Callithrix jacchus: one gene and its partner. Each later gene encodes a partner of the first gene's protein in a complex. Links are inferred from orthologs where the notes say so. Each region holds a gene or a part of one and is shown in the gene's direction. Other genes may lie near its edges.

Region 1 (4,302 bases):
GTCCCTCCAGGGTGTTTCAGGTAACTTCTGTTTAGGGGTTAGTGGTTAAATTTTTGGTGAGATCCTTGTGTTCCCCAAAGGTGTTGACAGGCAGCTCTGCTGCCCCATAGCACTCCTGCATTCCAGCTACAGACCTGGGGTCTTGTGGGTGTTCACACTTGGGGTTCTTGTGACTAAACTGCTAAAATGGTTCACTTGAGGGCAAGAAGCGCACTGCTTTGGGACATCTTCATTCATGCACCCCATCCAGTTGTGCCCAACGTAGAATAAGAAGTTGATCCAAACTGCATGGGGCAGAGTCCTGCATGTGCTGTTCTGCCAACAGCTGCCCTGCCAGTGGGGGAACAGCTCAAGCTCAGACTACCACCCCCTCCACCTGTCTTAGGCACGCTGGTCCTTAGGAGAAGCATTGACCCTCCACTCCCTCTTGCAGGTGTCCTCAAGTTTGCCCGCTTGGTCAAATCCTACGAAGCCCAGGATCCCGAGATTGCCAGCCTGTCAGGCAAGCTGAAGGCACTGTTCCTGCCACCCATGACGCTGCCACCTCATGGACCTGCTGCTGGTGGCAGCGTGGCTGCTTCCTGAGAGTTAGCCCTCCCTTGTGCCACTAACAGGGGAGGAAAGGCCTTGATGTTCCAGTCAATAATAAATGTGTCTGCGACTTAGCCTTCTTGTCAGTTTTCTTGTCACTCTGCCACCCAGGCTGGAGTGCAATGGCGTGATCTCAGCTCACTGCAACCTCCGCCTCCCAGGTTCAAGTGATTCTCCTGCCTCAGCCTCCTGAGTAGCTGGGACTACAGGCGCATACCACCGCGTCCAGCTAATTTTTGTATTTTTAGTAGGGACGGGGTGTCAACATCTTGGCCAGGCTGGTCTCGAACTCCTGACCTTGTGATCCACCCACCTTGGGTTACAGGTGTGAGCCACCGTGCCCCGTGTCAGTCTTTGTGGACCTGACAACCTCCCTCTCTCCTCCCCAGATTCTCTCTTCCTTTCCAGGCCGCATCCTCCTGAATAGCTCTTTCCTATACTCCTGGCTGGGCCTAACCCTGCTCCAGTGAGGGCTGAGGCTCCTCCCCTTTCCCCAGGGCAGGGTAAGAGGTTGGACTGGGCTCCTCAGCGCCCTGGGTGGGTGGGCGTGCACAGGGCGCACCTCCTTCTCTGAGGAATTGGGCTGTTAGGGCTTTTCCTTAGGCCCTTTGGTTTGCGCCTACTGAGAGATTTCCCCCATTGGTTGCTCTTCCCTCAGCCAGGGTTACTTCCTGGTCTTTGCCCCTACCCAACCTCCCGCCGCTCTGTCAGCTTGAGCTCCAGGTGGAGCTCCAGGTGGCTCCTCCTCTCCCGAGGGAAGGCAGCCCTGGACCGGCGGGAGGGCCTGCTGGACTCCCGCACTGGGGCTGCAGGGAAGCTGGCTGCTGTGGGCGGTCTCAGGCCAGCCCCGCCCCACCTGTCCTTTTCCTGGAGACTATTAGTCCAGGGTTTGTCCCTGCGGGGCCATTGGCCTGGCAGGCTGGATTGAGGAGGAAGTGACTGATTTCTGAGAGGTTCGTCCTCACCTGGCTTGGGCCACGGTGCACAGCTGTGCCACTGGCTCAGCCCCGCCCCCTGAGGCCCTCTGCCGTGACTTCATCCCTCCAGAGAGATGCTGTCCCGTGGGTAAGTTCGTGCACCACCTGGGTCCCAGTCTCCTGTTAGTTTTGGAGGGAGGGAGGCCTTGTTCATGCTCACTGCAACATGTGTGTGAGCCTGAGTGCGATCTGCCGCTGCCCTGCCCTGCGCCTGCTTCCTGTCCCTATGAACCTTCCCTTCCCGCAAGGTGTGAGGACCCCCGGGCTCATTCATGCCCCTCTGGCCCCTCTTTAACATTTTCCCCTGACAAGTGTATATCTCTTCTCTCCATTGCATTTCTACCTCCAGCCTCTGGGCTCCTGCTTCTGCCTCCTGCTTGGGACCTGTCCCTTGGGTAGTTCACATCACCTCAAACATAGCAGCAGTTAGAGGCCACCCGTGAAGGCCTCTCCTGCCCAGCCAACTTCCCTGCTCTTCCCATTATCTGACTTTGGTCCCATCTTCTTTCCGGTTCCTTTCACTTCCCTTTCCCTTGCATCATTCATTCATCAGATACGTGCTGAGCATCTATTGCACACAGGGTGCTGTTTAAGATGCTGGTAATACTGGAGTGAACAAGACAGACATGGTCCCTGCTTTCACGGAGCTTATGTTCCCATGGGAGGTCACAGACTGAACAAACAACCCAATAAATTGGATCATTGCAGATTCTCAAAAGTGTTATGCAGAAAATGAAACAGCCTCGGCTGGGCATGGTGGTCCACACCTGTGATCCCAGCACTTTGGGAGGCTGAAGCGAGAGGATTGCTTGAGCCCAGGAATTTGAGACCAGCCTGGCCAATATAGTGAGACCCTGTCTATACAAAAAATAAGCTGGGTATGGTGGCACACATCTGTGGTTCCAGCTATGGAGAGGCTGAGGTGTGAGGCTTGAGCCCAGGAGGTCAAGGCCACAGGGAGTGGTGATTGCACCACTGCACACCAGCCTGGGCAACAGAGTGAGACCCTGTCTCGAAAAAAGAAAATGAACCAGCTTCATGTGCTAGCAAGTGACTGGGTGTGCAGGTGACATTACTAGCTGGAGGGATCAGGGAGGGCTTCCTGAGGAGGTGACATTTGAGCTGAGACCTGGATGAGGAGGAAGAGGAGTTAGGCGTGGTGGAGAAAGAAAGAAAGAGAGAGAGGGAGGGAGAAAGGAAGGAAGGAAACAGAGAAAAAGAAGGAAGGAAGAAGATAAAAAAGAAAAGAATGATGTGGTGATCAAGAGTCAAGCATCCTTAGGCCGGGTGTGGTGGCTCACGCCTGTAATCCAAGCACTTTGGAGGCCAGGGCAAGCGGATCACCTGAGGTCGGGAGTTCAAGACCAGCCTGACCAACATGGTGAAACCCCGTCTTTATTAAAAAAAAAAAAGAGTCAAGCATCCCTGGGCAGAGGAGATGGAGCGCACAAAGCTCTAACGTGGGAACAAACAAAAAAAGGACAGTCTGCCTGTGATGCAGTGACAGAGGACCCTAGAGGAGCGGAGGCAGGGCCAGGGCAGGTTAGACTCTGTTGGACCTGGGATGGTGAAAGTGAAAACCTGGCCGGCCGAGGTAGCACACACATGTGATCCCAATTTGGGAGGCTGAGGTGGGAGGATCGTTGGAGCTCAGGAGTTTGAAACCAGCCTGGGCAACATAGCAGTTTGGGAGGTGGGAGGATCACTTGAGCTCAGGAGTTTAAGAGCACTCTGGGAAGCACAGGGAGACCTCATTACTACTGCTACTACTAATAATAAATAGCTGGGCATGGTGGCACACACCTGTGGTCTCAGCTCCTTGGGAGGGTGAGGCAGGAGGATCACCGGAGCCCAGGAGGTCAAGGCTGAAGTGAGCTGTGATTGTGACACTGCACTCCAGCCTGGATGACAGAGCAAAATTCTGTCTCAAAAAAAGAGAGAGAGAATGGAGAGAAAGGAAAAAGAAAGGAAAAAAGAAGAAAGAAAGAAAAAGAAAGAAAAGAAAAGAAGGAAGGAAGAAGGGAAGAAAGGAAGGGAGGGAGGGAGGGGCCAGGCGCAGTGGCTCAAGCCTGTAATTCCAGCACTTTGGGAGGCCGAGGCAGGTGGATCACTAGGTCAAGAGATCGAGACCATCCTGGTCAACATGGTGAAACCCCGTCTCTACTAAAAATACAAAAAATTAGCTGGGCGTGGTGGCACGTGCCTGTAGTCCCAGCTACTCTGGAGGCTGAGGCAGGAGAATTGCTTGAACCAGGGAGGCAGAGGTTTTGGTGAGCCAAGATTGCACCACTGCACTCCAGCCTGGTGACAGAGCGAGACTGTCTCAAAAGAAAAAAAAGAAAAAGAAAAAGTGACAACCTGCTTACAGAGTACTGGCGAGTTTGTGGGTGTGTGGCTCCCCAGCCCTACTGATTCTTGCTTCTCACACTCATCTCTGCTCCTGCCCCAGTGCTCACCTCATCACTGTCTGCCCCACCGACGGGGTTCCTACTGAGTCTTCTAGTCCTGAATCCCTTCCACGGCCATTTTCCTCCCAGGTAGCTTGGCCAGGCCTCCCCTTGTGCAGATTCCATCCTCAGTTTCTCAGCCTGGCCTTGAATGACCCTCTGCAGCAGGGTCCCAACCTCTCAGAGCAACTTTGCTCCAGCCACATAGCTCTGCTCACAGCCAGGCACTGCGCACATGAACTCTGTGCATGCCACCTCTTTGCCTTGACACATGCTGTCTCTGGGGG
Region 2 (4,340 bases), about 8.6 Mb from region 1:
GACTGCTCACAATCCACAGCTGAGAAGGGTGAGGTCAAGATTCGAGGCTGTTTCAGAAACTACTGTGGAACTAAAGTCAGCAAACCTCTACTGCTGACAGAGATGAGTGAGTCACACAGCAATTTCCTGTGATTGACTCAGGCCACAGTTGAGAGGGGTTTGAGTGAAGATTCAGGGCCATTTTAGTATCTTCTATGGGACAGAGGTCAGCAAGCATGCCCCGGGAGAACAGATGTATGTCTTCCAGGAAGTCTCTGTGGGTGAAGGACTGATCTCAAGTTGTGGCTGATGCTAGCTAAAGCCAAGTTAGAGGGTTGTTTCAGGATCCACACGGAGACTACAGTTGGTACATCTACCTCCTGAGACACTAGTGTGTGGGTCTCCTCCTGGACCCCTGGGAAAATGGTTTTGGCAGCATGACCAAGGCCTAATGGGGCTAAAGGCAAGTCCACAGGAGGATGGGTCCCTTTTCAGGTCTGGAGATGGAATCACCATTGGCAAACTGCCACTTGGGTGCAAATCTATTCTCTAAAACAACCCTCCTCCTCTGTCTTGGGTTCCACTGGCATTTTACAAACTCCTACTTGAATTCCGAAACTCCCTCAAAGGAACTTTTGTCTGTGGTTGGCTGGAAAATTATTGTTGCTGAGGGGTGTATGTGTGGGGGACCACCTATTCTGCCAATTTGCTGACTTTCTTCCAAATAAGATTTTAAACTTATTTTTTCCCCATACATACTTTGACTTGAGTTTTTGTCAATTACAACTAAATATTTCTATTAAAGTTGAGATAATTTGTTATGGCAGAAGATGAATAAATGAATAACATAATGAATAGCTGCTCAGTATTCCAATCTCTGGCATGATGATATATTTCAAAATTGATTAATGCTTTATCTTTCCAAGATACATTTATTTTTATCAAGAGCAATCTGAACATTAAATAATCTGCTTAAAAAAATAAAATTAAACACAAGAATTTAAGAACTAAGAGAAGTTAAGACTATAACTTTGGCAGTGATGATTTTTGTGCCAGCTACAATCAATTGAGTAATTACTGCAGTAATTTCTCAGGTAATTGGTGAAAAAGATCAGTAGATATCAGTTCATAATGTTACTATGAGTTTTAGAATGCTTTCCCATTATAATGGAAGTGACATAATAAAATAATATAAAGAGGTATGCAATGTTAAGATTTAGCAACCTAGTTTAAAAGATACTCTTAACAAGGTGAGCCTTGGCAATGTTTGTGATCAAGACAGAAAAAAAATTCTCAGAGGCACTTGAAAAATGGACCAACTAAATGACACTTTCAAAGTCAACCTTGTACTTTTAGTAGACCACATTATCCTATATTTTGGAGGTGTGTGATGAAATAAACTGATTTGAAATAGCCCATGTGTAGAATTTCCTGTTCAAACCTTAGTAACACGTTGATAAGAAATCTACTATTTCCACTCTTCACTCACTCTGAGTCTTCACGGGGCAGTCTGCAAAGATCACAGACACTGTTTGTTCTTGTCCTGGATTTATGCCTTTAATTTCACCTTTTATTACTCAACTATAGCAGGCCTTTTTATGAGACTAACCTGGCCTCTCCACTAAAGGATGTGTGACTTTCTGGGGACAGAAGGTATGTGTTGCTACTCTCGAACGCGCTACTAGCCTACCTCATTTAGTGGGTGATTATAAGTGCTCAATATGATGCATCAGAGCTTTAATTAATATACAATAAAATCAAAGTAGAACATTGCTGTCTTCATTTGAATAACTAAGGTTAAAAACCTAAAAAATTAAATATGTTGGAGGATTTCTTAAAGTTTTTAAATTATTGTTTGTGGAAAACTAGTAGGTCTGTTTAATATAATTTAGATGAAACCTATTAACATCACAATAATGAACAATTAATTTTATATTTTATAATCAGTACATCATGTAGCTTTGAATAATCATAATTGATATTTAGTTTAGCCATTATAGATTATTAAAATAAATTAATCAATTGATGAAAGCCAAATACAATTTCTCAGACACATAGATTAAATAAATAAAAGCGGTTTTTATTTTTAATAAAAATCAGAATGAGGTAGATTACATAAAATGCTAAAGGTAATACAAAAATCAAAATACTTTTTAAAAATTGGTCAAAATATTGCAAAGAAAAATGTAGCACACGGACATAGGAGACTTATCTGAAGATTTATTTTCCATGCTTTCACTGACATGAATCAGAGACAGTAACATAACAATTGTTACTATATAATAATCAAAAAGCTAACGCTTATTGAGAACTTTAAGTGCCAGGTTGAGTGGTAAATGTTTTACATGCAACGTTTTATGTGTTCTTATTCCCGGTTTAGATTAACAATCTGGGTTATTAAACACAGAATAACTTTTTAAAGGTCACACATTATAAGTGTCAAAGCCAGAATTAATTCTAGATCTCACTGACTCCAGAGCCATTGACTAAACGATTTAATTACATTACCTGAAATTTTACAAGTGCTTATACAACTAACGTAGCCATTACTCACTTTGGCAACCGTAAAATGTTTCTATAAGTTTAAATGAAATGTGCTTTAACATAAATTACCTATACTTTCGTTTATCATTTTATGGTTTATAGTTTATCCAGGAAATAACTTGCCAACACTTCCATCAGGTAAGTATTAGCAGTTTTTGTAGTGTTTGTAACACTGTTTAGGTTATGAATAACTTAACTGTTGCATAAGATTTTCCGATATATACAAATATTGAAATTTTCAATAATTTCTTAAAATGTTTCAGCCATTAAGAGAAACCCATTTAATACCCCATCAATTTTAATAAATACGTGTACATTACTAAATAAAACGTATTTATTGCAAGAATATATATATATCACCCTTACTATTAATCATGTGCAGATCACATAGTCTAAACATTACTGGATTTCAAAATTAAAATAAAAAATGAGTGCAGAAGTATCTATACTACAACATTTTAATTTTTAATACAAGTTGTGTTTGGTATTATGTTAAAATATATCTGTGGCATCAGACATTAACTAAGAAATATCTTTTCATTCCTGAACTTCTTTATTCCTTACTAATGTATTGCTTCTCATTGCCCCAGCAATAATATTTTGTCAAATGTAGAAAATCTTTTTTTTTTTGAGATGGAGTTCCACTCTGTCACCCAGGCTGGCGTGCAATGGCGCAATCTCAGCTCACTGCAACCTCCACCTCCAGGGTTCAAGCAGTTCCTCAGTCTCAGCTTCCCTAGTAGCTTGAACTACAAGTGCATGTCACCACGCCCAGCTAATTTTTGTATTTTTAGGAGAGATGAGGTTTCACCATATTGGCCAGGCTGGTCTTGAACTCCTGACCTTGTGATCAGCCCACCTTGGCCTCTCAAAGTGTTGAGATTACAGGCATGACCCACTACGAGCTTGGCCCTAGAAAAATCTTAAAAAAAAGCCAGGCGCGGTGGCTCAAGCCTGTAATCCCAGCACTTTGGGAGGCCGAGGCGGGTGGATCACGAGGTCAACAGATCGAGACCATCCTGGTCAACATGGTGAAACCCCGTCTCTACTAAAAATACAAAAAATTACCTGGGCATGGTGGCGCGTGCCTGTAATCCCAGCTACTCAGGAGGCTGTGGCAGGAGAATTGCCTGAACCCAGGAGGCGGAGGTTGCGGTGAGCCGAGATCGCACCATTGCACTCCAGCCTGGGTAACAAGAGCGAAACTCCGTCTCAAACAAAACAAAACAAAACCAAACAAACAAACAAACAAAAAAAAAAACTATTTCCCATAAGAAGCTTGTTTAAGCTGGAAGAAAATTAGAGAAAGAACTTTAGATTCTTCAATGCAAAATTAGCTCTAATACTCATTCTCCACCTCACCCTTTTAACTGCGCTAGAGAGCTTGTATACAAACCATTTATTAACTTCTTAACTACTCTTATTATACAGCACAGTCCCTGACATCACACACTGCAAAGATGGATCACCAAGGAGTGATCTACTCCGACCTGAATCTGCCCCCAAAGCCAAAGAGGCAGCAACGAACACCTAAGAGCAAAGAAAGCTCAATTTTAGTAACTGAACAGGAAATAACCTATGCGGAATTAAACCTTCAAACAGCTTCTCAGGATTTTCAAGGGAATGACAAAACCTATCACTGCAAAGGTAAAGCATTGAAAAGCTCCTCAGTATAACAGTCTAGGATGTGCAGCTTGGGGTACAGGGATATGTGGGGAAAGAGCAGGGAGTGCTTACATATTTTCTATTTGCAAAGATCAGAATTCCAAGTGGAGACATGCGATTTCAATATAAAACATGAACACTGATTTAACTCA

What was found.
Region 2: the proteins of PTPN6 (region 1) and KLRC1 are in contact, whole or in part, in an NMR structure (PDB 2YU7), measured with the Homo sapiens proteins. The link is inferred for Callithrix jacchus from reciprocal best matches to the Homo sapiens genes PTPN6 and KLRC1. Residues at the interface, in NP_002822.2 of Homo sapiens: Gly117, Gly118, Glu121, Arg136, Ser138, Leu139, Ser140, Val146, Thr165, His166, Ile167, Lys168, Val178, Gly179, Gly180, Leu181, Glu182, Ile199, Glu200, Glu201, Ala202; in NP_002250.2 of Homo sapiens: Ile38, Thr39, Tyr40, Ala41, Glu42, Leu43, Asn44, Leu45, Gln46, Lys47.

What each region holds. Positions count from the first base shown.
Region 1 is NC_133510.1:21,210,693-21,214,994, forward strand, and holds the start of PTPN6 (tyrosine-protein phosphatase non-receptor type 6), read left to right. Parts: upstream 1-1,482; 5' UTR 1,483-1,642; coding exon 1,643-1,656; intron 1,657-4,302. Other genes in the region: C9H12orf57 (protein C10), read left to right, coding at 434-585. UniProt on the Homo sapiens protein: Tyrosine phosphatase enzyme that plays important roles in controlling immune signaling pathways and fundamental physiological processes such as hematopoiesis.
Region 2 is NC_133510.1:12,586,506-12,590,845, forward strand, and holds the start of KLRC1 (NKG2-A/NKG2-B type II integral membrane protein), read left to right. Parts: upstream 1-1,453; 5' UTR 1,454-1,607; coding exon 1,608-1,632; intron 1,633-3,954; coding exon 3,955-4,170; intron 4,171-4,340. UniProt on the Homo sapiens protein: Immune inhibitory receptor involved in self-nonself discrimination.